Saccharomyces cerevisiae S288C: one gene and its partners. Changing the gene in region 3 together with the main gene of any one other region gives a genetic interaction. Each region holds a gene or a part of one and is shown on either strand. Other genes may lie near its edges. The genes, in order: INM2, LOT5 and FLC2.

Evidence for each region.
Region 1: mutations in FLC2 (region 3) and INM2 together harm fitness less than expected from each alone (positive genetic interaction), as found in Saccharomyces cerevisiae (one large-scale study listed by BioGRID).
Region 2: mutations in FLC2 (region 3) and LOT5 together harm fitness more than expected from each alone (negative genetic interaction), as found in Saccharomyces cerevisiae (one large-scale study listed by BioGRID).

Annotation. Positions count from the first base shown.
Region 1 is NC_001136.10:1,032,003-1,042,421, reverse strand, and holds INM2 (inositol monophosphate 1-phosphatase INM2), read right to left. Parts: upstream 6,428-10,419; coding exon 5,549-6,427; downstream 1-5,548. Other genes in the region: HRQ1 (ATP-dependent 3'-5' DNA helicase), read right to left, coding at 1-2,694; RTT103 (Rtt103p), read left to right, coding at 2,913-4,142; Smc5-Smc6 complex subunit NSE3, read right to left, coding at 4,316-5,227; MGP12 (Mgp12p), read left to right, coding at 6,847-7,191; ZIP1 (Zip1p), read right to left, coding at 7,359-9,986. UniProt on the Saccharomyces cerevisiae protein: Responsible for the provision of inositol required for synthesis of phosphatidylinositol and polyphosphoinositides and involved in the inositol cycle of calcium signaling.
Region 2 is NC_001143.9:93,450-103,643, forward strand, and holds LOT5 (Lot5p), read left to right. Parts: upstream 1-5,271; coding exon 5,272-6,192; downstream 6,193-10,194. Other genes in the region: DNA-binding transcription repressor ASH1, read left to right, coding at 1,050-2,816; ornithine decarboxylase SPE1, read left to right, coding at 3,308-4,708; YKL183C-A (uncharacterized protein), read right to left, coding at 4,946-5,158; tetrafunctional fatty acid synthase subunit FAS1, read left to right, coding at 7,222-10,194.
Region 3 is NC_001133.9:42,565-51,744, reverse strand, and holds FLC2 (flavin adenine dinucleotide transporter FLC2), read right to left. Parts: upstream 5,847-9,180; coding exon 3,495-5,846; downstream 1-3,494. Other genes in the region: oleate-activated transcription factor OAF1, read right to left, coding at 38-3,181; ACS1 (acetate--CoA ligase 1), read left to right, coding at 6,723-8,864; ubiquitin-protein transferase activating protein PEX22, read right to left, coding at 9,026-9,180. UniProt on the Saccharomyces cerevisiae protein: May be responsible for the transport of FAD into the endoplasmic reticulum lumen, where it is required for oxidative protein folding.

The DNA of each region.
Region 1 (10,419 bases), on a different chromosome or scaffold from region 3:
GTGAATAGCTCCTGCTACATTTAATTGCTTCTTTTGGCAAATTTCTAAGGCATATTTTGGCATATCTATCCATAATCCTTTAGAATTGATTATTACAGGAGGGTTATGGGTTTCGATGGCATCGATGATCCTCTTGTACTTGTCTACTTTAAAAAAGCCAAATACAATAATTGTAGTCTTGATCTTACCAAAGTAAACAGGAACATCACTATTCCTTAAAGAGCGTATAAGTTCAATTTCCTGTGGATCTACATCTGTAAAGTCTCTTTGGTTGGTTACCCAGTCAACATCTACTCTTTGCACTTTAGCATATCTTTCATCAGGATTAAACTCCTTCACAAGGTAGGGATAGCCTTGGTGAATGAATATACCGCCATCATATAAAGTAAAACTAGTCCTGGATGCTTCTATTTCCTCAATTATTATATTTCTTCCATTTGTTATATCCACTACGGCAAATTGATCTTCTTCTCCGCCTCTCAAAGATACACACTTGGACGGCCATGGTAAAAATCTATTACTGGCGTGGTACCCATCTTGATTGTGATGTAAGCGTTCAACACAGATTTTGCGAAGATGAGATTCAGTAAAGTATTGCTTGTCACGTTCAAAATTTATTGGCAGTTCGAAAGCAGCGCATTGTATGTGTCCTTCCAGTATCAAAATGTTATTGAAATCAAGAACCAAATCTTGATAAGATTCGAAATTATTAACCTCCAGCAAGGATTCTGGATGAGCAACATAATGTTGATCAACAGGCGAGTCACTTGCAACCACGAGGGTTAAAGAATCATTATTTCTTCTTCCAGCTCTACCACTTTGTTGATGAAAATTCGCCATTGATAGTGGGAAACCGCACATCAAGACTGCGTCTAGTCCACCGATATCAATACCAAGTTCTAGAGCATTGGTAGATATGACAGCCTTTAAATTTCCGTGAAACATCTCACGTTCTATTTTACGTCTGTCGGAAGCAGAATAACCACCCCTGTAAGACATGACTTCTGTAACCAGATCCTCACGCCCAGTTTCAATAAAAATATTGCGAACTTCTTTCATCAACAATTCACAAACACGACGAACGTAGCAAAATGCTATGGTTCTTACGTTGTTCAATATCAATTGTACCAATATCTTTGCACTCTCTCTAATGAAATTTTCTCGTTTACGTTCGTGTTGAGGTAAAATTGGAGGATTCCACACCACTAGATGCTTAGCACCTGTAGGTGAGCCATCCTCGTGTATTAGCGTAACCTCATTAATTCCAAACATGTCCTTCATATGTTGTACTGGAGACTTTAAAGTTGCAGAACATGAAATAAATTGTAAACCACTATTTTCGTAAAAACAGTGGCACAGTCTTAGTAAACGTCTCATCACTAATGCCACGTGCGATCCAAATAAACCCTTATATATATGCAATTCATCGACCACCACTAACTTTAGATGGTACAAAAAATGTCTCCAATTTGCATGATTAGGTAAAATGCTGGTATGTATCATGTCAGGATTGGTAAAAATAACTCTAGCATTTTTACGAATATAAGCTCTTTCCTCTGGCTCCGTATCGCCGTCATACGTATCAACCACGGCATTCTTTAGCTCGGGGATCTTTGAAAGTATTACCTTGAATGCTCTTTTTTGATCTTGTGCCAGGGCCTTTGTTGGAAATATATACATAAACGTTGATTCAGGATCCTTTAAAAGAAGATCGATAGCTGCTAGTTGGTAAATAAGGGATTTACCTGAAGAGGTCGATGTTGTAATAATGACGTTTTCGCCTTGATGAAGACTGTTTATCGCATCTGCTTGATGGCTGTAGAAATTTTCGTGTTCCATACCCTGATATACTTCCGGTGCAAGCTCAAAACAGAGACCTTTATACTTCGCTGTTCTTGATGGTATTGTAAAACAATGCTTTATCTGAGAAGCGTAGAATTCAGTACTTTTTAATTTCTCAATCATTTGAGGAATTGTTGTTATCACTGAATTATTGGAATAATTGGGAATGCTCATCTCATTACTTTCTTGCTTCGCCTTCATCATTGCCTCAATAGGATCCTCATAATCTCTCTCCCTTGGAATATATTTCTGCGCTAGATTTGTTAACTCAGAAAATGGGTCAAGGTTAGCCTTTTCCTTTTCCAGGATAAATTCCCGTAGTCTGGATTTAAAGAGAGCTTCCCTTTTAGAAATCATCTTTTTCATTTCCTCCGTAGTATATGTTGGTATCTTTATTTGAGAAAATCTATCACTTGCAGACCATGAGCGTTGCATTGTACCGTCTATAAATTCAAATATAAGTAACTGAGTAGATTTTTGAGTCTGATTTTGGTCATCAACGTCCTTCAGTTCAAATATGTCATTTTCCTTCTGCTGAAAGCCGCCATTATTGAAGTCAAAAATCTTAGTTTCAGTATAAATTTGGTTCTCATCAATATACTTGAAAACACATTCTCTTGGCATTAGCGCCATAACCATGGCTAGGTCTTCTTTCGTCACAGTTCTTTTCAAAGCAGTTTCTATAGGTCCACAAAGTGTTTTAAATGTAGGCACAACATGCTTTCTGCAAATCAAAAAGGTGTAAAGAGTATTAAGGCGGAAAAAAAATTGTTCAAAATTTCTAAAGGCATCGGTCTTTCCACTCCCTTGACCTGCTGACTTCAGTTTCTTTTTGATAGGTCCTTCCTCCATTTTTCCTTCTCAAATGAACATTTCTTTTCTACGACCTTAACCATCTCAATATGTATAACGGTTCTGTTTTATAACGAAAAATGAAAAAGTTATTTTTTTCCTTTAAAAATATATAAACTTGAAAAGCCAACATAATAATATAAGTACAAGCGAAGAAGGTTTTAACGAAGAGGTAGAAAATTTGAAGAAAGCAATAATCCAAGATTAAAATAGACGGTATGCCTTTCTCTTCTGAGCAATTCACAACCAAATTAAATACGTTGGAAGATTCCCAAGAATCTATTTCCAGTGCCTCAAAGTGGTTGCTTCTACAGTATAGAGATGCTCCCAAAGTGGCAGAAATGTGGAAAGAATACATGTTAAGGCCTAGTGTAAACACAAGAAGGAAGTTATTGGGTCTTTACTTAATGAATCATGTTGTTCAACAGGCTAAAGGTCAAAAAATTATTCAATTTCAAGATTCCTTTGGAAAGGTGGCAGCAGAAGTATTGGGAAGAATTAATCAAGAGTTTCCGAGGGACCTAAAAAAGAAGTTGTCAAGAGTTGTGAATATACTAAAAGAAAGAAATATATTTTCCAAGCAGGTAGTCAATGACATAGAAAGAAGTCTTAAAACCGAGAGCTCACCAGTGGAAGCGTTGGTGTTACCCCAGAAATTGAAAGATTTTGCTAAGGACTATGAAAAATTAGTGAAAATGCACCATAATGTTTGCGCGATGAAAATGAGATTTGACAAATCATCAGATGAATTGGATCCATCCAGCTCAGTTTACGAGGAAAATTTTAAAACAATAAGTAAGATTGGGAACATGGCTAAAGATATAATAAATGAATCAATTCTAAAAAGAGAAAGCGGTATCCATAAACTGCAAAGCACACTGGACGATGAAAAAAGGCATCTAGATGAGGAACAGAATATGTTAAGTGAAATAGAATTCGTTTTATCTGCTAAAGACCCATCCAGATTAAATAAAAACGTTGATGAAGACAATATTATTCCTACGTATGAAGTGGGGGATGGAGATGACGATGACGATGATGGTGATAATGATGATGATGATGATGATGATGATGATGACAAAAATTACGATGATAGATCCAATGACAGCAATTATGGCGTTACTAATATTAGCACCACAGATAAGAAGAATGAAGTTGTAGAAAAGACAGATAGCGAACATAAAAACTCTACTCATAATCCTAGTGACAATCAATTTGGTATGAAACGAACACATGATATGATAGGTCATGATGACGCTAATGACATACCGGAAAAAAAGGTTCATCTTGATTCGAAGACGAGTGAAGATGGTACTTTCAACAGTGAGGATGGACATTATGAGTTAGATATAGAAGGCCACGTCGGCGCCCAAACCGACGAAGGTGTTGAGAATTCCGGAGGGGTTTCTTCTAGTATACAAGACTTGTTAAGTAAGCTTGCAAATTAATATGATGGTTGAGTAAAAAGAAAACAAGGAGATAACTTATACAAATATATAGTAACCCGTTTAAGTCCAGTCTTTTTTCGTAACTATTTGCCCATAGTTTATTTCGTATTCATCTTCACTATTTCCTCGACAAAAAAGATGCGCACCTAAACTACATGGACACCTATGCAATGCTATATAGAATATGAATCGCCAATGCTTTTTATTATATCATCGTGCAAACTTTTAGTCTGCTCCTTTTCAAGGCCCATGATTTCTTGCACCAATTTTTCAAGAGACTCTAGTCCAAGCTCAGCCTGAGTTCTTCTACCTATCCTGTATGATATCACTTCCCCGTCGGTATCGGATTTCTCCTCCAATCTGACTATATATTCGCGCTTTTCTAAACTTTTTATCAAATCTTCAATAGTAATGTTCAGTATAGCAATCTTTGAACCATCGCTTGGAATGCCAAATGTCTCTAGAAATTTGATCAATTCCTGATGTAATATGTTATTCTTAGAGAAGAAAACAATGCATAAAATGACGCTCAAAACACCCTTGTAAACAAGATCTCGATCTGTACTCAACTTGCTTTCTAAGGTATTGGAAGTTCCTGAAGCTATATCGTCACCAATATACTCTCCGGTAACTATTAGCTCTTCATAAGTGTGAGCGCTTTGTAAAATCTTGAAATCGTCAAAATTTTTTGAGTGCGGGACATTGTTTAGCAAGATAAATTTCTGGGCTCTATGTCCCAGTGGCTCAGGCATTGATTTATTTGTATTGCTATTGCTTCCATTACCGCCAGCGTTCATATTATTTTTTGACGGCAATCCTTGTAATTCAAACCCATATACGTTATACAGTATAGCATTTATGTCCATAAACATTTTACTAAAAGACGGTTTTGCTATGTTTTCCTCGCGAGCAGCTTCATGTATAACAGATTGTAACTTGTTTCTTGTTATGATCGAATTTTGAGATTCTCCTCTCGATAAAATATACCTAACCATTTTTCTAGCTACAGGATTCTCTTTAACGATCTTGGCCACGGCTAAATCTTCTGTTAAATCCACATCGCTGTCATTATCTATAGAACTCATGCTAATGAGAAGCTTATGTTTATCGAACAACCTTCCCTTGTAGCATACTGATATAGGACCCCTTCAATCGAAGTTGATAATAAGCGCATTACTCTTCATTGAAATTTTTCTTCACGTATATCGCGCTGTTAAAGGAGAGGGCCGCATGCATGTAATACTTGCTATTCTTGAGTCAGAAGCCCACACTAAGTGACCTGTGAAATCAAGTTGCTGCTTCAAGATATCGTCCTGTACTGGAAAAAAATACTAGTAGGAATTGCGTGAAGTACTATATAAACTTTTCTTAGATGTAGCTTATTTAACGACACCTGAGGGGGGCATTTAGTATTCTAACTCACCCGCAACGTGAGGCCAAAACGATTCTGCAAATCGCTTCTGCTCCATCGACTCACATCCACCTCTAATAGCCAAGTAACATCTTCTGTCTAATGGAATGTTCCATTCTCCACAATTTCCGCCAACCATTATTCCTCCTGCTTCCTCAAGAATACACCAACCGGCACAAACATCCCAAGCCCAGCAGCCACCTTCCCAATAAGCATCAAGCATGCCGCTCGCTACGTAGCATATGTTCATGGCAGCACTTCCTGCACTTCTGAACCCGTGAACAAAGGCGCCGGACTCACTTAGTAAGTTTTTATAAGTATTCATTTTCTTATCAAAGTTTCCTTGGGAACCTTCAGTTCTTTCCGAACCTCCTTCTAAAGCAATTAAGGATTTTTGCAAAATCAATGGCCTTTTTGAAACCTTTATCTCCTGATCATTTAAGAAAGCTCCATTGCCTTTGGAAGCATGGAATAGTTGGTTTAAGTGAGGATTGAAAACCACACCAACAACCGGCTTCCCCATTTCAGCTAAACCTAGAGATGTACAACTATAGGGGTAACCGTGAATAAAATTAGTAGTACCATCGATGGGATCAACAATAAATGTAGGGCCGTTAGTTATTTTCGTGACACCTTTTACATAAGTTTCTTCTCCGATAAATTTGAAACTGGGATACTTGGCCGTTAAATTTTCCTTGATTATAGATTCAATTTGTTTGTCTAAAGCAGTTACCAAATCTACGCCATTTGCTTTATCATCATATGAACAAAAGTTTGTTCCTGCGTGCGATTTTACGAGAGGTCCTATTTTACTCCTAAGTAATTCAATAAATGTGTTCTCCACTTCCTCTAGTACTTGCCTCGTTAATACCATCGCTTCAATCTAAGTTTACTTTACAAGGGCTTGTGGAGCTTCAACTTCACTTATTCTCTATATTGTTTTCACGATTTTTTCTCCCCACGATTTCATATGTAATGAAGCAGGGTGCTTCACGGCGTTATCACTCGGAACACTGACGTTCTTTATTAAGAATTACCGTTTTAAGGGAAATAATAAGAGGTCACTTAATATGACTGTGAGAATCCATTTTTGTAGTTTTTTAGTTACTGGCTTTGGAATGTCAATATAACTGTGATTGACTTCCCTTTTTTTCGCTTTATGGGTCTATGATGTGCGCAAGTTGTTACCTTTCCGTAGAGAGTTCGGAGTTGATGCATTGTAAAGTTTCGTTTAATTCATAACAGAAATTCGTAATTATTCAGTAAGACATAAAACTTAAGGAACATATCACCATGTTGAGAGCGTTCCGCTGTTCTATACATACTTCGAGGGTATTGTTACATGATGCTGGAGTGAAATTAACTTTCTTCTCAAAGCCTAATTGTGGGTTATGCGATCAAGCAAAGGAAGTGATAGATGATGTATTTGAAAGAAAGGAATTTCATAATAAAGCAGTTTCACTAGAGATAGTCAACATAACTGACCGAAGAAACGCAAAATGGTGGAAGGAATATTGCTTCGACATACCAGTACTTCATATTGAGAAAGTTGGTGATCCTAAGTCGTGCACCAAGATCCTGCACTTTCTTGAAGAAGACGATATCAGTGATAAAATAAGGAGAATGCAATCTAGATGACCTCTTTTGTTTTTACTAGAGTTACAACACTGTAAATATTTATAAGCTATGAATAAGTATATACCTCAAAAAACTATATCTACGCTAATTTTACTATGCATACTTCTTACGCAGGGAACAAAATGAAATGTATTCGCACAAAACGATTTCAAATTTTCCATTATCCTCTATTTCCTTCTCCTTTTCTTGCTTATTTTTAATGACTGGTCTTCGTCTTCTACTAGTAGTAATTTTTTTCTTGAAGAAATTGGAGGTTTCATGCAATTTGAACCCTTCTTGATTTTTCCTCTCACTGGTTTAATTTGGATTGGGGAAGGGTTGGTTAACTCTAGGTCGTCATTTGATGATGAAGAAAGATCGAACTCATCGTTAAATTTGGATGTTTCTTTGGATGAATTAATTCTTGACTTACTTATATGATCCACCTTAGGACACTTTTTCATAGGAGAGTGAATGGCAGCAGAGTTATTAGGAAATAAGTTGGACGTCGTAGCATTTTTTTTGGGTGAATCTGATGGTTTAGTAAAATTTTGTGTACCTTTTTTACTAGGCTCGTTCCGTTTATGGTTTTTTATCTCTTCTAGCTCTTTAATCTTCTGTTCTAATTCCCTCTTTTGCGATTGCACCTTTTGCTGTAAATTTTTGGTGACTTCTTCCAAACTTTCGAGGTTATCTTGAAGTTCTAACTTTTCAGCTGTTATATCTTGCTTCTCCGATTTCAGAACTATCACTTGCTGTTTTAGGGTTTTTACATCGCTTAGTGATTCTTCAACACCAGTTTCCTTTTTTTCTAAACAATTTTTTAAGTGCCTATTCTGCTCTTCAAGCTCCAATTCATGAGCCTTCAGTTGTACTACTTCGACGTTTAGCTTTTGTAGCTGCTCATTGTTCTTTTGGAAAGCCTCCAGTTTGGTTGTATGATCCTTCTGTTCATTTTCTTTGATTTCTACTAGCTGTTGAATTCTTTGCTTCAGAGTGTCGTTTTCGGAAACTAAAGCCTTCACAATTTCATTCTGAGAAGATATTTTATTTTCGTAATTTGATTTTGTTGTGATGTTCAAATTGTTGAGTTTTTCTAGTTGATCCTGGACTTTTTTCAGTTCATTAGAAAGGTTTTCATTTTTTTCAGTTAAACTTTGTTCTTTGCCAGAAATTTGTGAAATTTCGATATTCTTCGCCTCCAACTTTTTGACCAAATCTTCATATTGTGCTTCTTTAGTACCAAGAGAGCTAATAATCTGATTTTTTTGTGAAGACAAAGTTGACCTTTCACTCTCCAAATGTTTTATCCTTTCTTCATACTCATTCGACTGAACTATTTCTGCCTTATATGCCTTCACCAAGTTTTCCAAACTCGCGTAATTTTTGGCTGTTTGAGACGCATCATCAAGAAGCTCTTGCCTTGTGTTATTCATTTCACTTACCAAAGCAGTTTGAATATTCCCTGATGACGTTAATAGTTCTTCTTGTACTCCCATTATAAGTCCTTTTTGCGTTACACTCAGCTCATTTATTGTTTTTGCCATTTCATCCTTACTGGATGACATTTTTTGTTCAAGATTTTCTTTGATATCTTCATATTGCTGCTTTAGCATGGTCTCTGTATTACTACTCAACTCTACAGTGGTGTTCCTCAAGCCTACGTTAAGGGTATCTTTTGCCACATCGAAGTGCTTTTGTAATTTTTTTTCAAACAAATCATGAACTCTTTCTTCGAATTTGTTAAATTGCAGTAAATGGTGTGCTTTATCTTCTGAAAAGAAATTCTCAATTGATTTAATCATTTCTTCTCTATTTTTTCCCATTTCCTGTATTAAGGAACTGTTTTTGATTTTTTCTTCGCTCAACTGACCTGAACAATCATCTAGTTCTCTTTTCAGGTATTCAATCTCTTTACCTTTTTTCATTAATTCTGCATCCGCCTCCTTTTTGTTCTTCCCTAAATCATTTATTGTTTTGTTCAAGTTTTCAATACTTGTCTTAAATCCGCTTATCCTTCTCTGATATAGTTGGTGGTTTTGTCTTAAATCTTTCAATTTAGTTTCTTGATTATTCTTATGGCTCGTCAACGTTGCAATCCTTTCTTGAAGAGTTTCTAAACAAGATTTATATTTTCCGACTTTTTCATTGATCTTATCAGAATTGGAAGCATACGACTGTAGTCGAACTTTCAACTTTGCATTATCCTGTTGCTGCTTTTGTAGCTCTTGCTTTAAATTTGAACATATTCTTTGAGTGTTTGTGAAGGCTTCTAACAGGACATCATTTGAAGATGTACTAGAATTATTGATGGACGTGTGCAAAGGAGCCTTTCCATTTGTCATAGTATATTCATGCATTTTACTATCCTTGAGAGTTGTCTCAGAATCGTTAGGATCCCCATGACTTTCTTTCGTTTCTTTTGCTACTCCTTCACTCACTTCTCTTACTTCTGTAATTTCAAAATCTTCATCAGTATCATTTTCAATTGCGGCAACATCATTTTTTAAAATTCTGTTGTATTGGTCTGTTGATGTTGTTTTTTTTGGTGAACCTATTTCCATATCATCAGAATAACCATGGTTTCTCTGACTAAGGCTCATACTTGTAATCAGTTCTTGTTCGGTAGAAGTTTTGTGGGGTTTTTTGAAGGTATCATCTCCCTCTATAGAAGAACCCACGTCTAAACAGTTGGATGAATTCTCGACAACAGTATTAGCGGAAGAATCTGAATCTACATCTCTGACTCTCAGCTTAGCGAAGATGTTTGGTCGAGGCTTGAATCCCATTGAACTATCTCTAAAAAAGTTTGACATTCTCTAAAAATTTAGCCGCCGAGGGTATTTTACTTCCGAATCTCAAAGAAAAAAATATGCTTACTGTTAATCCTAAAAGAGGTGACAATATTCAGCTAAAACTTTCAGAGACTTGCAGTTCTCTTCAAGGCGGTCAACTTTAACAAAGAGGTAGCAGATTGTTTTCTTTATTTGTTCGCTATTTACAAGTGAAGAAGCAGCTCTTCATAAAGGGACAACACGGCTTATAGCATTTTTTACGAAAAGTTTGACCGTTTAGAACAAATATTTAAAAACTAGTACTCGATTTCTGGCGCAGCAAAAATATAGCATTATGTCCGATAAACACAGTTGTGATCTGTCTTGTGATCGCATACTCTGCAGATAATCAGTTGAAATAGCAGCTTTTAAGTGAGAATCTTATTCTTAGTCTACATCGTTACATTGTATCAGT
Region 2 (10,194 bases), on a different chromosome or scaffold from region 3:
ATCGTTTTATACGTACGACACGTTCAACTTTTCTTGGTTAGTAGTGGCAATCTCTGCAATACATACAGGGAGTCATGGTCTATCATCTTGTCCAATCAAAGAAGCATCGGTTCAGATCGAGCAAACTGTAGGGAGAAAGGAAAGTAGAAATGCAGAGTGTGCTATATGTCCAATCTCGGTTTTGTAGTTTGGATGTCATTAGAGATCTACCACCCAACCGGCTGCTTTCATGTGGAACAGAAAAGAAATCGGGGCGCTTCCTCTTCTGTATTCCTTTAATTAACGTTTTTATTCAGCCATCTAACCATCATACCCCCATACGGTAACAAAACCTCTTCTAAGAAAAGAAGTCTCTGCTCCTCCGCCATCTTATTTTTATTCGCTGCGCGCGTTTATTGTCGCATCGCTAGCCAGCAAAAAGTTGGTTGCCTTTTTTTACCTAAAAAAGACACATCTAACTGATTAGTTTTCCGTTTTAGGATATTGACGCCAAGCGTGCGTCTGATTTCTACGATATGTCTCTAATTTTGGAAGGGCCATTTTATTTTTGAGGATTGGGCTGATCATTTTCCTTACGTGGATTGAGCCAGCAATACAGATCATTATTAAACTGTTTTGTACATGATGTTAGTATATAATCGTAAAGCTTTTCTAATATGTATACCTTATACATGGAACTCCACAGAACTTGCAAACATACCAAAAATCCTTTATTCTTGTTCACTCATTTTACATCAAAAAATAATATTTCAGTTATTAAGGAAAATAAAAAAATAGATTAGAGAAGCATTTTGAAGAAATAGTATATTCTTTTATTGAACCTAAGAGCGTGATATTTTTACTCGAAATAAAATACGAAAAATCTATACACTCATCTTTCCGACTACTATTGGCTCCTGCTCAAAAAAAGAGGGAAAAAAAGCTCCAAAATTCTATCTTTTCCTATCGCTCCTGTCCTATCCTTATTACGTTCATTACTATTTTAATACTATCCATTCTTTTATTTTCAGTCTAAAAAAAACATTTCTCATAACGGGAAAAGCAAAAAAATGTCAAGCTTATACATCAAAACACCACTGCATGCATTATCTGCTGGTCCGGATTCTCATGCAAATAGCTCCTATTATGACAATCTTTTATTGCCTTCATTTTCCAATTTATCCAGTAATATCAGCAGGAACAATATCACAACCGATAACAATATAAATTCAGCAAGTCCTAGGAAGTATTCGTTTCATTCGCTCAATGTGTCGCCAATTCTTTCCCCAATATCTTTGGCTAACGAAATACTTGGAAAAAAATCAAATACTGCACCAGCATCGCCACATCATATGGATTACAATCCAATTTCCTCATTAACACCAGGCAATTCACCAGAATTCAACAAGGCAAGCTTATCTCAGATTAGTTTTACAAATCCATTGAACTATGGGTCTGGCTTAGGTTTTTCCTCTAATTCACAACCTCGACTACCATTGTTAGACAGGCTATCGTCCGTCTCTTTATCTAAGAGACCGGAGCGCCCACAACAAAGCCTACCATCACTAAGGCATCTGCAATTATTACCCAGTCCTCTTTTACAAGAAAACGCAGCACGCTTCCCTGATACATCAAAACGTACATCTAATTGGAAAACTGATCTTACCCATTGGTGTAAGGATACAAACTATCAAGACTATGTTAAAATACGCGAAGAAGTGGCTCATTTCAAGCCATTAAGTATACCCAACTTAACTAATAATCAAAATAATGATAGTTTCAATTACGGCAAGGAATTGGAATCGACTAGGTCGTCCAAGTTCCATTCCCCGTCTAAGGAATCATTTGATCGTACCAAACTAATTCCTTCGATTCTAGAAGCTAAAGATCAATTTAAAGATCTTTCCAACAATGCATGGAGTATTACTCCTCCCGTCACACCGCCGATGAGTCCACCAACCAATAGAACCATGGAGCGCACGACGCTTAGAGGAGTAGAGGCCTCTTTTTTTGAGGGGAAATCCAGCAATAACGATTCAATATTCAATCCAATTATTAGTGAAAAATTGGTTCAAGAAGTTAAACATCAAAGACAATTACGTGGAAATTCATTTCCCATGCCAAATGCCAGTCACAAAAAGACGAACAGTTTCAAAGCTTTGCAAATAAAAAAATTGCTTGCGAATAGAGACATTCTATCGAACAATTCCAAATCTAATGTAAGGAAACCATCTAAGAACAAAATCTCAAAGCAAGCATCAAATGTTTTCGGTAACACTGCAAGACAATTGGTGATGAAACTCGACAACGCTAGTTACAGTTCTGTCTCTGCATCTTCATCTCCATCTCCCTCCACACCGACGAAAAGTGGCAAGATGAGATCAAGATCATCCTCACCTGTGCGTCCCAAGGCATACACTCCAAGCCCAAGGTCACCCAATTATCATAGATTTGCTCTCGACTCTCCCCCTCAAAGCCCTCGAAGATCATCAAATTCAAGCATAACGAAAAAGGGAAGTAGAAGGTCCAGTGGCTCATCACCCACTCGTCACACCACAAGAGTGTGCGTGTCGTGTCATTCGAGTGATTCGCCCTGTTGGAGGCCATCGTGGTCGCCAAGAAAGCAAGATCAGCTATGTAACTCTTGTGGTCTTCGATATAAAAAAACACATACAAGATGTTTGAACGATTTATGTCGTAAGATCCCCACAAAGGGTGAAATAAACATTATGAAATCCAATGGAATAGACAAAGAATTCGTCCCCGAACGCAACTGCGAAATTGAAGGGTACCGTTGCTTATTTTGTAATTACATAACTGAGACAGTAGAGAATTGATACATGGATAACTGAATCTCTTTCAACTAATAAGAGACATTATCACGAAACAATTGTACATTTCTCTCCTTGTCTGTGCTAAATAAACTACAAATAAAAATTCATTTTCTTTCATTTTCATTCGACACGCCGCGGCATCTTCGTTTTCTTCACCGATTAATTTTAATCTGCGCCGTGCAGATATTTTCGCCCATTTCGAAGTGAAATCATTCTAATAACTTCTCCTGCGCAATAGATTGGTCATCCTGATTTTTATTCTGAAATCGAAAATGAAAAGCATTTATTGCACTGAAATAGCGGAACCTGCTTCTAATAAGCTTAAAATTCAATCATAATAGTGTAGTTAATAGAAAGGACAGAAGAACTTTTCGTTCCTTGGTTTATCATCCAGGTTTCAGCACGGCTTTTGTTTCAAGTTTAAGTAGGTAAGATTTTTTGATTGTTCTACAACTTTTTCATAGTAATCAAAACCTTTGAATTTCAAACTTACTATGTCTAGTACTCAAGTAGGAAATGCTCTATCTAGTTCCACTACTACTTTAGTGGACTTGTCTAATTCTACGGTTACCCAAAAGAAGCAATATTATAAAGATGGCGAGACGCTGCACAATCTTTTGCTTGAACTAAAGAATAACCAAGATTTGGAACTTTTACCGCATGAACAAGCGCATCCTAAAATATTTCAAGCGCTCAAGGCTCGTATTGGTAGAATTAATAATGAAACGTGCGACCCCGGTGAGGAGAACTCGTTTTTCATATGCGATTTGGGAGAAGTCAAGAGATTATTCAACAACTGGGTGAAGGAGCTTCCTAGAATTAAGCCATTTTATGCCGTCAAATGTAATCCTGATACCAAGGTTTTGTCATTATTAGCAGAGTTGGGCGTTAATTTCGATTGCGCTTCCAAAGTGGAAATTGACAGAGTATTATCGATGAACATCTCGCCGGATAGAATTGTTTACGCTAATCCTTGTAAAGTAGCATCTTTCATTAGATATGCAGCTTCAAAAAATGTAATGAAGTCTACTTTTGACAATGTAGAAGAATTGCATAAAATCAAAAAGTTTCATCCTGAGTCTCAGTTGTTATTAAGAATCGCTACCGATGACTCTACCGCTCAATGTCGACTTTCCACCAAATATGGCTGTGAAATGGAAAACGTAGACGTTTTATTAAAGGCTATAAAGGAACTAGGTTTAAACCTGGCTGGTGTTTCTTTCCACGTCGGTTCAGGCGCTTCTGATTTTACAAGCTTATACAAAGCCGTTAGAGATGCAAGAACGGTATTTGACAAAGCTGCTAACGAATACGGGTTGCCCCCTTTGAAGATTTTGGATGTAGGTGGTGGATTTCAATTTGAATCCTTCAAAGAATCAACTGCTGTTTTGCGTCTAGCGCTAGAGGAATTTTTCCCTGTAGGTTGTGGTGTTGATATAATTGCAGAGCCTGGCAGATACTTTGTAGCTACAGCGTTCACTTTGGCATCTCATGTGATTGCGAAGAGAAAACTGTCTGAGAATGAAGCAATGATTTACACTAACGATGGTGTATACGGGAACATGAATTGTATTTTATTCGATCATCAAGAGCCCCATCCAAGAACCCTTTATCATAATTTGGAATTTCATTACGACGATTTTGAATCCACTACTGCGGTCCTCGACTCTATCAACAAAACAAGATCTGAGTATCCATATAAAGTTTCCATCTGGGGACCCACATGTGATGGTTTGGATTGTATTGCCAAAGAGTATTACATGAAGCATGATGTTATAGTCGGTGATTGGTTTTATTTTCCTGCCCTGGGTGCCTACACATCATCGGCGGCTACTCAATTCAACGGCTTTGAGCAGACTGCGGATATAGTATACATAGACTCTGAACTCGATTGAAGGATATATTTAACCACGACTTTCGCAAGAGAGACGGAGGGGGTGGGAAAAGGCTGAATGCAACCATTGTCACTAAGAATTTGAGTGTTCATGAACGAGTTATACACGCTATTTAAGAGTCAGAGAATGATGATTCAAGAAAATTCTGGCATTTTTCCTGTCCACCACTGTACGCCATTGTACACAAAAGTATTTTTTTATATTTTTTTTACAATTTTTTATAATTTTTTTTTATGTTTAGTGTATATTTGCTAGAAAGAAACAAGATCTTTTTTGGTAGTGTAAATGCTTAAACTTTGTCTCTTTTTCCTTTTTACTTTGGAAAAATGCCGACGCAAGAACATAGACATCTGCGAAAACCAAAAATAAAGTACCAATTGTACATACAAAAACAGAGAAAAAGTTCATGAACAGAACGTTACTACGGTATAGCAAGATCTTTGAATACATCCATTACTTCGGATTGTTCACCATACTTCAACACAGGCCAAGATAGACCATAGCTACAGTGATAGACGAATATTTATTTCAAAAGAAGCATCAACCATAAAATAAAAAGAAAAATGATGAAAAAAAAACCAAAGTGCCAAATTGCAAGGACCAAACCATCGGTCGAAAACGTCATACCATATAACCAATTCAAGAAGACGCAGCCGCGATTCAACGGCAACTTTTCTGCACTGAATAATGAAGAATACATAATACTCTTTGGCGGAGGTCGGGACCTGATACTAGGCTCCCTGACACCTTGTTCGAGCTCTCATTTGTCCAATCAAGCCAACCCACAAGACACCAGTGAGTATGGCACAGACCTGTTTATACTCAACAGCTGCATTATCATTTGGTTCAATGGCTTGGGATATGGGCTGGAAATTCCCTACAGCAGCGTTTTGTACCATGCATCAAGACGGCTACCAGATGGTAGGGAAGGGCTTCAATTAGAAATTTTGCTGACTTTGGAAAGAGACGAAGTGTTGGACATGCTCTACCAAAGCCTCGCGCCACAGGCCTGCGAATTCGACGGCGAAGAAGCACATGCCTTCACCGTGCGCAGCGTGGAATTGACTATCAGGCCCAAATATTCAATATACGATCGCCATTATAACAACGAAATCGAAACCCTTTTCACCTTCGAAAACTTCGGCGTGAACAGGGGCGATGACCTGGTAAACAATTGTAACGAAGCACTAGCCGTATGCATGGACCTGCACGGTGAGGACGTACAAGATCAAGACCAGGAACAATACCAAGATCCAAGCATGGCGTTTGAGGGTGCGCAAGATCTCAACGCCACGTATTCTGGGCTTGGAGACACCCTTCACGGGCCGCCCGTGTATCAGAACGACGGGCTGGCAGACGATCTGGATGGCGACCTCGTTATGGACAACGTGGTCTCTAGGGGTGGTCCAGAAGCAAGTATGTCTATGGAGTTCTACGCAAATCAAAATCTTGCTGGCAGAAAGAACTCCAGAGACAATGAATGAACAACATCTATTATGGGAACATCCCGCTGTACTATGCGGTCTCGTCCTCTACGAATATGGCTATTTGCCTTCGTATATACCTTTCTATACCAAGTAATGAATGTCTTGAGGGCCCGTATGGCCGCGCGAAGGCTTAGTTAAGATGTTTCAGCAAACGGCAGCATGTGAAAAAACCCGTAGAAGGTCCGCATCAGCCTTCCATGCCCGTGCACCCACGGCTCCTCGGAGGCCGGGTTATAGCAGCGTCTGCTCCGCATCACGATACACGAGGTGCAGGCACGGTTCACTACTCCCCTGGCCTCCAACAAACGACGGCCAAAAACTTCACATGCCGCCCAGCCAAGCATAATTACGCAACAGCGATCTTTCCGTCGCACAAGTTAAAAGAAATTGTTGAAAAATACAAATAATCGCGAACAATACGTTGTTGCTATTTAACGCTTTTGGTCTGACAGTAAGTGTGCCTTTCCCAATCACCGAAAAGTGTTGAACGATTCACTGCGACAATAATCAGAGATTACAGTCGGCATTTTGGCATTTTTGGCATACTTTTTATCGATTGAACCATCTTCTCCAAACACTTTTCCTTTTTCCTTCTATTCTGCAGGACCAACTAAAACTGGGTATATATATCATTATCTATATATATAAACGGCTTTCAACAAAGTTATAGGGGAAAACTAAAAATATAAGAAAAAAAAAGGTATTGATTGATAAGGAAAAAGAACCAAGGGAAAAATATAAAAAAGTACATTGGGCCTTTTCATACTTGTTATCACTTACATTACAAAGAAGAACAAACAACTTTTTTAAACGAATTTTCTTTCTTCCTTTTTCAATTTATTAATTCTTTTTTTCCATACAATTCAAGGTCAAATATATTCTTATATGCTCTTTGAATATTTCTGAAAAATATATAAAGAAAAGAAACTACAAGAACATCATCCGGAAAATCAGATTATAGACTAGGATTCCGCTCTTTTTAGTATATTTATTCGCCACACCTAACTGCTCTATTATTCGCTCATTATGGACGCTTACTCCACAAGACCATTAACCCTATCTCACGGTTCTTTAGAGCACGTGCTTCTGGTACCAACCGCTTCATTTTTCATTGCTTCGCAATTACAAGAACAATTTAATAAAATTTTGCCCGAACCCACTGAAGGGTTTGCTGCAGATGACGAGCCTACCACACCTGCTGAACTAGTGGGGAAATTCCTTGGCTACGTATCTTCTCTAGTCGAACCTTCCAAGGTCGGTCAATTCGATCAGGTCTTGAACCTTTGCTTAACAGAATTTGAAAACTGTTATTTAGAAGGCAATGACATTCACGCCTTGGCTGCTAAACTATTACAGGAAAACGACACAACTTTAGTGAAGACTAAAGAACTAATTAAAAATTATATTACCGCCAGAATAATGGCTAAGAGACCATTTGACAAAAAATCCAACTCTGCTCTTTTTAGGGCCGTCGGCGAGGGTAACGCACAATTGGTAGCCATTTTCGGTGGTCAAGGTAACACCGACGACTACTTTGAAGAATTGCGTGATCTATATCAAACTTATCATGTCTTAGTGGGAGATTTAATCAAGTTCTCCGCTGAAACTTTAAGTGAACTGATTAGAACTACTTTAGATGCTGAAAAAGTCTTTACTCAAGGTTTAAACATATTGGAATGGTTGGAGAACCCTTCAAATACCCCAGACAAGGACTATTTACTTTCCATTCCAATTTCATGCCCCTTAATTGGTGTCATTCAATTGGCTCACTACGTAGTTACTGCCAAGCTTTTGGGTTTCACTCCAGGTGAGTTAAGATCTTACTTAAAAGGTGCTACAGGTCACTCTCAAGGTTTGGTTACTGCTGTCGCCATAGCTGAGACGGATTCCTGGGAATCCTTCTTCGTCTCCGTAAGAAAAGCAATTACTGTATTATTCTTCATCGGTGTTCGTTGTTACGAAGCATACCCAAACACTTCCCTACCACCATCCATCTTGGAAGATTCCTTGGAAAACAATGAAGGTGTTCCATCTCCAATGTTGTCCATTTCCAATCTAACTCAAGAACAAGTTCAAGACTATGTAAATAAGACTAACTCTCATTTGCCAGCTGGTAAACAAGTTGAAATTTCTCTAGTCAATGGTGCGAAGAATCTAGTCGTATCGGGCCCACCACAATCATTATATGGTTTAAACTTGACTTTAAGAAAGGCCAAGGCCCCATCTGGACTGGATCAATCAAGAATCCCATTCAGCGAAAGAAAATTGAAGTTCTCCAATAGGTTCTTACCTGTTGCATCACCATTCCATTCCCATCTATTGGTTCCAGCTTCAGATTTGATTAACAAAGACTTAGTCAAAAACAATGTCAGCTTTAACGCTAAAGATATTCAAATCCCCGTTTACGACACTTTTGATGGTTCAGATCTAAGAGTCCTTTCAGGTTCCATTTCCGAGAGAATCGTCGACTGCATCATTAGATTACCTGTCAAATGGGAAACTACTACACAATTCAAAGCCACCCACATATTAGACTTTGGTCCAGGTGGAGCTTCCGGTTTAGGTGTTTTAACCCATCGTAATAAAGATGGTACTGGTGTTCGTGTTATCGTTGCCGGTACTCTCGACATTAACCCAGATGATGATTACGGATTCAAGCAAGAAATCTTTGATGTTACTAGTAATGGTTTGAAGAAAAATCCAAACTGGTTGGAAGAATACCATCCAAAATTAATTAAGAACAAATCAGGCAAAATTTTTGTCGAAACAAAATTTTCTAAATTAATCGGTAGACCACCTTTATTGGTTCCTGGTATGACACCATGTACTGTTTCTCCAGATTTCGTAGCTGCTACCACAAATGCTGGTTATACCATTGAGTTGGCCGGTGGTGGTTACTTTTCCGCAGCAGGTATGACCGCCGCTATTGATTCTGTGGTTTCTCAGATAGAAAAGGGTAGTACCTTCGGTATCAACTTGATCTACGTCAATCCATTTATGTTACAATGGGGTATTCCATTAATCAAGGAACTAAGAAGCAAAGGTTATCCAATTCAATTCTTGACCATTGGTGCTGGTGTCCCATCATTGGAAGTTGCTAGTGAATACATAGAGACATTAGGTTTGAAGTACTTGGGTTTGAAACCAGGTTCCATTGATGCTATTTCGCAAGTTATAAACATTGCTAAAGCACATCCAAACTTCCCAATAGCTTTACAATGGACCGGTGGTAGAGGTGGTGGTCATCATTCTTTCGAAGATGCCCACACTCCAATGTTACAAATGTACTCCAAGATTAGAAGACATCCAAACATTATGTTGATATTCGGTTCTGGTTTCGGTTCTGCTGATGACACTTACCCATACTTAACCGGTGAATGGTCCACAAAATTCGATTATCCACCAATGCCATTCGATGGTTTCCTATTTGGTTCGAGGGTCATGATTGCTAAGGAAGTTAAAACTTCTCCTGATGCTAAGAAGTGTATTGCTGCTTGTACTGGTGTTCCTGATGATAAATGGGAACAAACCTACAAGAAGCCAACTGGTGGTATTGTCACTGTTCGCTCTGAAATGGGTGAACCAATTCACAAAATTGCCACTCGTGGTGTTATGCTATGGAAGGAATTCGACGAAACCATCTTCAACTTACCAAAGAATAAGTTGGTACCAACTTTGGAAGCAAAGAGAGATTACATTATCTCAAGATTGAACGCCGATTTCCAAAAACCATGGTTTGCTACCGTCAACGGTCAAGCCCGTGACCTAGCCACAATGACATACGAAGAAGTTGCAAAGAGATTGGTGGAATTAATGTTCATCAGATCTACCAACTCTTGGTTTGATGTCACATGGAGAACCTTTACTGGTGATTTCCTACGTCGTGTCGAAGAACGTTTCACTAAAAGTAAGACATTGTCTTTAATCCAATCCTATTCTCTACTAGACAAGCCTGATGAAGCTATTGAAAAAGTATTTAATGCTTATCCTGCCGCTAGG
Region 3 (9,180 bases):
GATGAAATGAATAGGTAGGAGTTTGGAAAGAAAATTTTTAAGCAAAGTCATTGCCAAACAAAAAGTCATAATCAAATAAATCCAAACCTCCAAAATAACCTGGAAAAGGAGTATTATTCGCTTGGCCTCTATCGAAACCATTAGGAAGTTGTGATCCAGATGAGTTATCGACAATTGGTGTAGCATTGATTGAATTGTTCAAGTTATTCATCCCGGCTATTGGCGTTTGCTCTTTTGAACCACCACCCGCCAAAGGACCCTGACGTAAACCACTGTTGTAGTCCAAGCTCTGACCAACTGCAGCGGCCGATGATAGTTTTTCTAAATTATCTAAGGATGAACTCCATGTCTTTGTGAAGGTAGGAACAGCATTTCCGAATGGTTCGCCGTTGGTTAAGTCAATTGTGTTTACAGGCGGCTTCAATCCTGAAGAAATTTGAATCTCTTTTTTGATATTACGGTTCAGCTCATCTATATCTTCAACGCTAAAATTCGCAACGTGATTGCATGCCATCAATTCCTCTAATAGCCTATCCTTTTTGTCCAGTTTGACTCCTAAGGTAATGCTTAATGTCTTGATTATCCTAGAATGCATTTGTTCCATTTGAATCATCGTAAATATGCCGTGCCATAATTCACCCTTTCTCATCCTTTGTACAATGACATCGAATAAAGCCAACATCTTAAAAACGGGGAAGTATGTGAATCTTAAATGTTCCGAAGCAGAGCAATATATACCTTCTAAAGCAGACTCGAGATCTCTTTGCAGGGTACTAAATTTTTCGACTTTGGTATTTAACTCCTTTATTCTTGGATCTGTCGTTCCCGATAACTTTTGTACTTCAGAAGATAACATATGGATGGCTAAACCTATTCTTAGTATAATCCCTAATAGGCTGAAGATTGTGCTGGATAGTGCTAACTGAATAAATTTTGTAACATTAAAACTGGTTAAAGAAGATATTGCGTGTCGATATTCTCCGTTGAAAAACTTATTGAAATAATTTATTAGTGACAACGCATCCATACAGCTAACCATAAAGTATTTCTTGTAGAATGGGAAGATACTTTTATCCTTAGTGATAAGTGTTTCAAAATGCAAGAATACGGCCATTGAAGTTCTCAACATCAATAGTTTATTCATTATTCGATTGTGAAATGAAGAAGAATTTTCTGAAGATAATATATTCATTTCTGAAATCACATTCATGTCATCAAGGTCTGACTTATCCTGTGCGACACTTTTTAATGGTACTATGGGAAAGTTTTCCTCCACAAAAATCTCAATCTTTTCTCTTATGAATTCAATTGAATGCAAATGGAAACTACCATAGTATGTCATCGTCAAGTTATCTAAGTCCGACAGGAGTAACGCAAGCTGGGCTCTCTTGAATGTAAATTTATGAATTCTCAAAAGTTTGTGATTATTGATATCGCTTAGATCGCCCCTAACTCGGTTCATATATACCGTCAGAGAATCAGGATCCTTAATATTTAGGAATAAGGCCATTAAAGATATCGGTGAGACAGAATGTCTACCTTTGAGACTTGCTTCAAACGAACAAACGGTAACGATACTCAACCAGAGTATTCTTCTGTGATTCAAGGTTCTTTTATCTGAGGTGGACGGGGAAATCAATTGAGGGAAATCTGAAGGATCTCTGTGGAGACCAATCGAGGTGGAAAGCATCATTATCAAACTACTGATAACATCGGTGGGGTGCTCGAGAAAGAAATCACCCTCTTCAGGAGAAAAAGCAAAAAAAGACCAGATATATAGTAAACATGATATGATGTTTTCATTAGCGCATGCACACCAATTTTCCGATGCTAGACATCTTTGACTCAATAAAATAAAATCGTTCGGTATTGGGTATTTATCAATTATTTCCTTTGAAAGATAAAAACTCGAGTCTGCTGTACTATGATCTAAAAACCTTATTGACATGTATGAGAGTTTCAAGATAACCAATAGAAGACTCAAGTTTTCCACCTTAGCTCTCAAATGTGTGCTACCCATACGTATTTGCACCTTGGAGGGGTTGTTTGGGTCCGGAAAAATTGTTTGACTTAATGATTCTTCAAAAATTTCTAATTCGATGAAAGGTAGACTTGGATAAACGTACTCATAAAAGTGGTTCTTGTAGCGTTCAATAATTTCGTAAGATGGCAAAATAGCTTCACATTCATTGATCAAATTTCTCAATAAATCCGAATATTCGCCACCTTGAGGGCAATGATCCTCCAGATATTGGTAACCGACAGAATTGTAAAGCATTGATAATAGCATACCGATTTTCAAGTTTCTATTTGAATTTGTATTTTGTAGTATTCTATCAGTGAATTCGTTTACACGATTTTTTTCATCTTCGGTTTGACACTGTCTGATTAGCATTTCCTTCAATTTCAAAAGGTTATTTGCTACGCTAGGCTGGGCTCTTGTAATATTCGCGTTTGCCGTCAATGCCGGTATCATCGTGTTCTTTGAAGTGTCAAGGAACACTGAAGTGACCAGGATTTTTAGAAAACAGTCCTGAATTATAATATAATTTTCAGATAACGGCTTAACTTCTCTTTTCATGACTTTACTCATGATCATGGTTGGATGACTTCTATACAAGTTGATTTCAATATCATTTCTGGTACCATTGTTTATATCCCCGTTACCACTTTGTTCATATATAGGTTCCATTTTATGCTGCTTCTTGGTATCAGGACTGTCCCCGCTAGCATTGTTTGTATTGATCGGACTTGCTGATCTCTTGCCTGATTCATTCACCTCTCTCTCTGTTAGTAGCTTCATAGCTTTATCTTTCCAATAAAACATATCTTTTTCCAACCTTGATATAATGGCGTCTTTACTCGGAATTCGTGGTGCTGGCTGTTTTGATACGTCATAAACACATTTTAACCCATGCTTGACGCATCGACCACATTCAGGTTTTTCTCTATCACACTTTGTTTTTGACTTCCTACAAGCCTGGCAGACAAACAATATTCTATTTCTTTTCCTATTATGTGTTTCGGAGTTCTCGGGGGCAGGCGATGTGCTTGAGTGCTCAGCTTCTAATCCAGGCGTTGGGTTATTGAACCCTAAGAAAAACGCCTCCGAATATGGCTTGGTAGAGCTATTATCATCATTTCCGGCATGTGGGGCCTTCTGCGTACTATTTTCGACCATGACTTACGCAACCTAATCTATTATTAACCTGCTTCTAACACAAAATAGCCAACAGTAAATCCCTTCTGGAGGATCTGTTTCCTTCTCTACACGTCAAAAAAGATGTCAGAAAAAAGCGGCAATTGCGTACATTTAAGGAAGCAGAGCCAAAGCGAATTTCACATTTAAGGTTTTTATCGCTGAAATATGTGTGGTGTTGGGATGTAATGGAGATAATACACCTTTTTGAGCGGTTTTCTATGAAATATAATGTAGGATATCCTTGCCCTTAAATATTTATATAATAAGTTGTTACATGTGAGTATATATTGGATTACAAATATGGGTTGTTGTTGCGGGCGTTTTCGTTGCTGCCGTTGTTGTTAAAATGCGAATATGATTTATTGGAATTCCCCAGGTAGAGACTTGATTCAGGCTTCATTAAACTGGAGGTGCTTGTATTATTCGGCGCTAGATTAGTACGAGAAGCAGATGACGCACGTTGGTACTGTGGAGACAAGAAGCTGCCACCCGTACCCATGACAGCGGAGGTTGGTTGCACAGGTTGCTCCGTTACTTCCGAGGCATCGAAGGGAGAGGAATTTTGCTTAAAAGAGGATGAACTAGTCTCATCATCAAAGAGTCTTGCTGTATTTGTGTTTGCATTCAGGTTCTTGCCGAAAGTGTCGTCACGGAACATTTTTTCTTCCTCATTTTCATTGGTGTCCATAACAGCTTTTCTCAATTCAAACAGTTCAGAATCATTTTTGTTTTTGCCATCGAAATCATTTTGAATCTTAGGAATGAATGACACACGGTCATCTTTCATTGGTTGGTAACGGACATCTGGGTTTCTGTGTAGTAATGCCAGTGTACAGGTGACAATAGTGAACAATAATAGGAATAGAGCAAACACCGCGTTCAAAACGAACAGAATAACCGCCATCACTGACGAAACCACTGCTGGTTGCTTGAACAAATTACTGAAAAACAAAAAGAAAAATGCATTGATCAAATTCACCAAATGAATAGCAATATTGAAAACATTAGTTCTCTTGTCCAAATATGGTCTTATCCAACAGAGACAAACGAAGTAAGCTAGTTCAATGACAAAGATGATCATTGCTTGAGCCTTACCTTGGTTTTGTAAAACGGCAACAAACAGGGATCTTAAGAACGCATAACTTAATAAGGGTAAAAGCCACCAAAACTTATCTGCTTTGAATTGAACGTATAAGAACCCAAACTTGTTCAAGAAGTAGGTATCACTGTAAAGTAGGTACGCAGGATTCTTGTATAATCTGAGAGACTCTCTTCCCTTGATGAAAACCCTTATAGTTCCATAAACCAGAAGTCCCGTGATGATCAGTAATATTACTACCGCATCAACAACAATCGCTGGAGAGTTGACCTGAGTAAATTCCCAAATCGCCAGAAGAGAAACTTGAGGGAAGGCGATGATAGATAATCTGAAAAGGGTGCCTTTGATAATACTCCCCCAGTTCTTCCTATATTGGAAGAAATTGGAAGTCTCTTTCAATATTCTTGCTCTTGTAAGAACTTCCAATAGCGCCTTAAAGAAAATCAAAGAGACGACAACTACAAATAGGAAGAATAGAAAAAACACAATACCGGTCAAAAAGAAATTAGATAGCTCAATATTAGCCAAATAAGCAACTCTTTCTATACCTCTTAACACGAGAATCTTGGCTGAGTAATTGCTTGGATCCTTCTCAGAAGTGGTGTACAGATTCGAATCGTCTAAAATGGTGTCAAAATTGTAATCACTAGACGATGCCATAGAGATAGCACGTTTTTGCACACTAATGGACAAGACGTCCTTGTTAGCTACCACAACATTTGAGACACCATTAGTGGCCTGTACGTACCAATCAAAAATCTTTTGCATGAAGTTTGTATTGATGATACCCATGGACCATTGGAAATTCTGCGTCCACGCGGCAGCAATGGGTGGAACCCTTGAGACACCCATCATTGCAGTGATAGCTAGATTTTGGAAGTATATGAACAATGAGATGGAGTTGGACGCAATGTGAGCAGCAGTGGCTGAGTAACCGATCACAGACACAAACCCTGAGGTAAGTACACCGACACCTGAGATAGCGGCAATGGGCCAGGCCGCATACTTTGTTTGCACTGTCTTCCCGTTACTCAAGATAGCCTGGACACAAGCCAGCGGAGTTTCGAATTCCGTGTCATTCTGAGCGTATGCCACCACACGTACTTGTGCGTCCAAATCTGGAATGGTGTAAGCAATGCCGGGAAATTGCTTGGTAATGGATGATTCGATCACCTGTGTGGACATGACATCAATACGCCCAGCACTTAGGGGGCAAAGCGATACTTGGCCCAAGGAACATAAATCAAAAGTCTTATCCAGGACTTTCAGTCCGTAAGTAAGCAGCTCAGCCTTCACAGTGACGTTCCCATTAAGCGTCGTCGTAGCGTCAATATCAAAGATAACAGTATTATTATCGGGGTAAAATTTCACATCAAAGAATGATGCCGTTAATTGCGAATTGTCCATACACGTCAATAAAGAAGTGGTCTGCAAATGCTTTGCAGACGCCGGAGTAGTGTCGTTTGTGTCAGAGGAACGTGCTGTACCGCTGCACAGTACGAAACACGTTAAAAGGCACCTTGCGAAGGTGTTTAGGAAGATCATGGCTATATAATCTTTTTATCACGTCAATATAATCGTAATGAAACAGAAATGAATGTATTATAATACACTGAAACACGGTATAGCGCAGCAAATTGTTTTAGTTTAAGGGGTATAAATGTTTTCCAAGGGTGGTGTTCTATATATATATGCCATTCATATACTTTTAATAATGTTCTATACGTATTCCCGTGAAGGCATTAATGATTATCTTTTTCTTTAAAAATGCAAGATGGCTGAGTAGTCGCGCGAAAAAAAAAAAAAAAAGAAACAGCAAGGTTAATTTTAGAATACCAACAGGAAAAAAGAAAAGATTATCCTCCCAGAAAAACAATCTGTTTATTACCCGACATTCTTAAAAAAACAAAAGCAAATCACATGTGCACATACGTCCAGAATGATATCAAGATAAATGGCACGTGTATGTACGGCTGTGTAAATATGATAATCATCTCGGACGAACGGCGTAGCACTCTCCATCCCCTAAAAATGTTCACGTGTGACTGCTCCATTTCGCCGGATGTCGAGATGACCCCCCCCCCTCAAAAGGCACTCACCTGTTGACATGCCGTGGCAAATGATTGGGGTCATCCTTTTTTTCTGTTATCTCTAAGATCCAAAGAAAAGTAAAAAAAAAAGGTTGGGGTACGAATTGCCGCCGAGCCTCCGATGCCATTATTCAATGGGTATTGCAGTTGGGGTACAGTTCCTCGGTGGCAAATAGTTCTCCCTTCATTTTGTATATAAACTGGGCGGCTATTCTAAGCATATTTCTCCCTTAGGTTATCTGGTAGTACGTTATATCTTGTTCTTATATTTTCTATCTATAAGCAAAACCAAACATATCAAAACTACTAGAAAGACATTGCCCACTGTGCTATGTCGCCCTCTGCCGTACAATCATCAAAACTAGAAGAACAGTCAAGTGAAATTGACAAGTTGAAAGCAAAAATGTCCCAGTCTGCCGCCACTGCGCAGCAGAAGAAGGAACATGAGTATGAACATTTGACTTCGGTCAAGATCGTGCCACAACGGCCCATCTCAGATAGACTGCAGCCCGCAATTGCTACCCACTATTCTCCACACTTGGACGGGTTGCAGGACTATCAGCGCTTGCACAAGGAGTCTATTGAAGACCCTGCTAAGTTCTTCGGTTCTAAAGCTACCCAATTTTTAAACTGGTCTAAGCCATTCGATAAGGTGTTCATCCCAGACCCTAAAACGGGCAGGCCCTCCTTCCAGAACAATGCATGGTTCCTCAACGGCCAATTAAACGCCTGTTACAACTGTGTTGACAGACATGCCTTGAAGACTCCTAACAAGAAAGCCATTATTTTCGAAGGTGACGAGCCTGGCCAAGGCTATTCCATTACCTACAAGGAACTACTTGAAGAAGTTTGTCAAGTGGCACAAGTGCTGACTTACTCTATGGGCGTTCGCAAGGGCGATACTGTTGCCGTGTACATGCCTATGGTCCCAGAAGCAATCATAACCTTGTTGGCCATTTCCCGTATCGGTGCCATTCACTCCGTAGTCTTTGCCGGGTTTTCTTCCAACTCCTTGAGAGATCGTATCAACGATGGGGACTCTAAAGTTGTCATCACTACAGATGAATCCAACAGAGGTGGTAAAGTCATTGAGACTAAAAGAATTGTTGATGACGCGCTAAGAGAGACCCCAGGCGTGAGACACGTCTTGGTTTATAGAAAGACCAACAATCCATCTGTTGCTTTCCATGCCCCCAGAGATTTGGATTGGGCAACAGAAAAGAAGAAATACAAGACCTACTATCCATGCACACCCGTTGATTCTGAGGATCCATTATTCTTGTTGTATACGTCTGGTTCTACTGGTGCCCCCAAGGGTGTTCAACATTCTACCGCAGGTTACTTGCTGGGAGCTTTGTTGACCATGCGCTACACTTTTGACACTCACCAAGAAGACGTTTTCTTCACAGCTGGAGACATTGGCTGGATTACAGGCCACACTTATGTGGTTTATGGTCCCTTACTATATGGTTGTGCCACTTTGGTCTTTGAAGGGACTCCTGCGTACCCAAATTACTCCCGTTATTGGGATATTATTGATGAACACAAAGTCACCCAATTTTATGTTGCGCCAACTGCTTTGCGTTTGTTGAAAAGAGCTGGTGATTCCTACATCGAAAATCATTCCTTAAAATCTTTGCGTTGCTTGGGTTCGGTCGGTGAGCCAATTGCTGCTGAAGTTTGGGAGTGGTACTCTGAAAAAATAGGTAAAAATGAAATCCCCATTGTAGACACCTACTGGCAAACAGAATCTGGTTCGCATCTGGTCACCCCGCTGGCTGGTGGTGTTACACCAATGAAACCGGGTTCTGCCTCATTCCCCTTCTTCGGTATTGATGCAGTTGTTCTTGACCCTAACACTGGTGAAGAACTTAACACCAGCCACGCAGAGGGTGTCCTTGCCGTCAAAGCTGCATGGCCATCATTTGCAAGAACTATTTGGAAAAATCATGATAGGTATCTAGACACTTATTTGAACCCTTACCCTGGCTACTATTTCACTGGTGATGGTGCTGCAAAGGATAAGGATGGTTATATCTGGATTTTGGGTCGTGTAGACGATGTGGTGAACGTCTCTGGTCACCGTCTGTCTACCGCTGAAATTGAGGCTGCTATTATCGAAGATCCAATTGTGGCCGAGTGTGCTGTTGTCGGATTCAACGATGACTTGACTGGTCAAGCAGTTGCTGCATTTGTGGTGTTGAAAAACAAATCTAGTTGGTCCACCGCAACAGATGATGAATTACAAGATATCAAGAAGCATTTGGTCTTTACTGTTAGAAAAGACATCGGGCCATTTGCCGCACCAAAATTGATCATTTTAGTGGATGACTTGCCCAAGACAAGATCCGGCAAAATTATGAGACGTATTTTAAGAAAAATCCTAGCAGGAGAAAGTGACCAACTAGGCGACGTTTCTACATTGTCAAACCCTGGCATTGTTAGACATCTAATTGATTCGGTCAAGTTGTAATGATGATTTCTTTCCTTTTTATATTGACGACTTTTTTTTTTTCGTGTGTTTTTGTTCTCTTATAACCGAGCTGCTTACTTATTATTATTTCACCTTCTCTTTTTATTTATACTTATAATTATTTATTCTTTACATACTGTTACAAGAAACTCTTTTCTACATTAATTGCATAAAGTGTCAATCAGCACATCCTCTACATCGCTATCAACAACAAATTTGACAAACCTGCCTATATCTTCAGGAACGACTGCTGCATCGCTACCACCACTACTTGTGAAGTCCCTGGAGTTCAATATGCACTGAAATTTACCTAGCC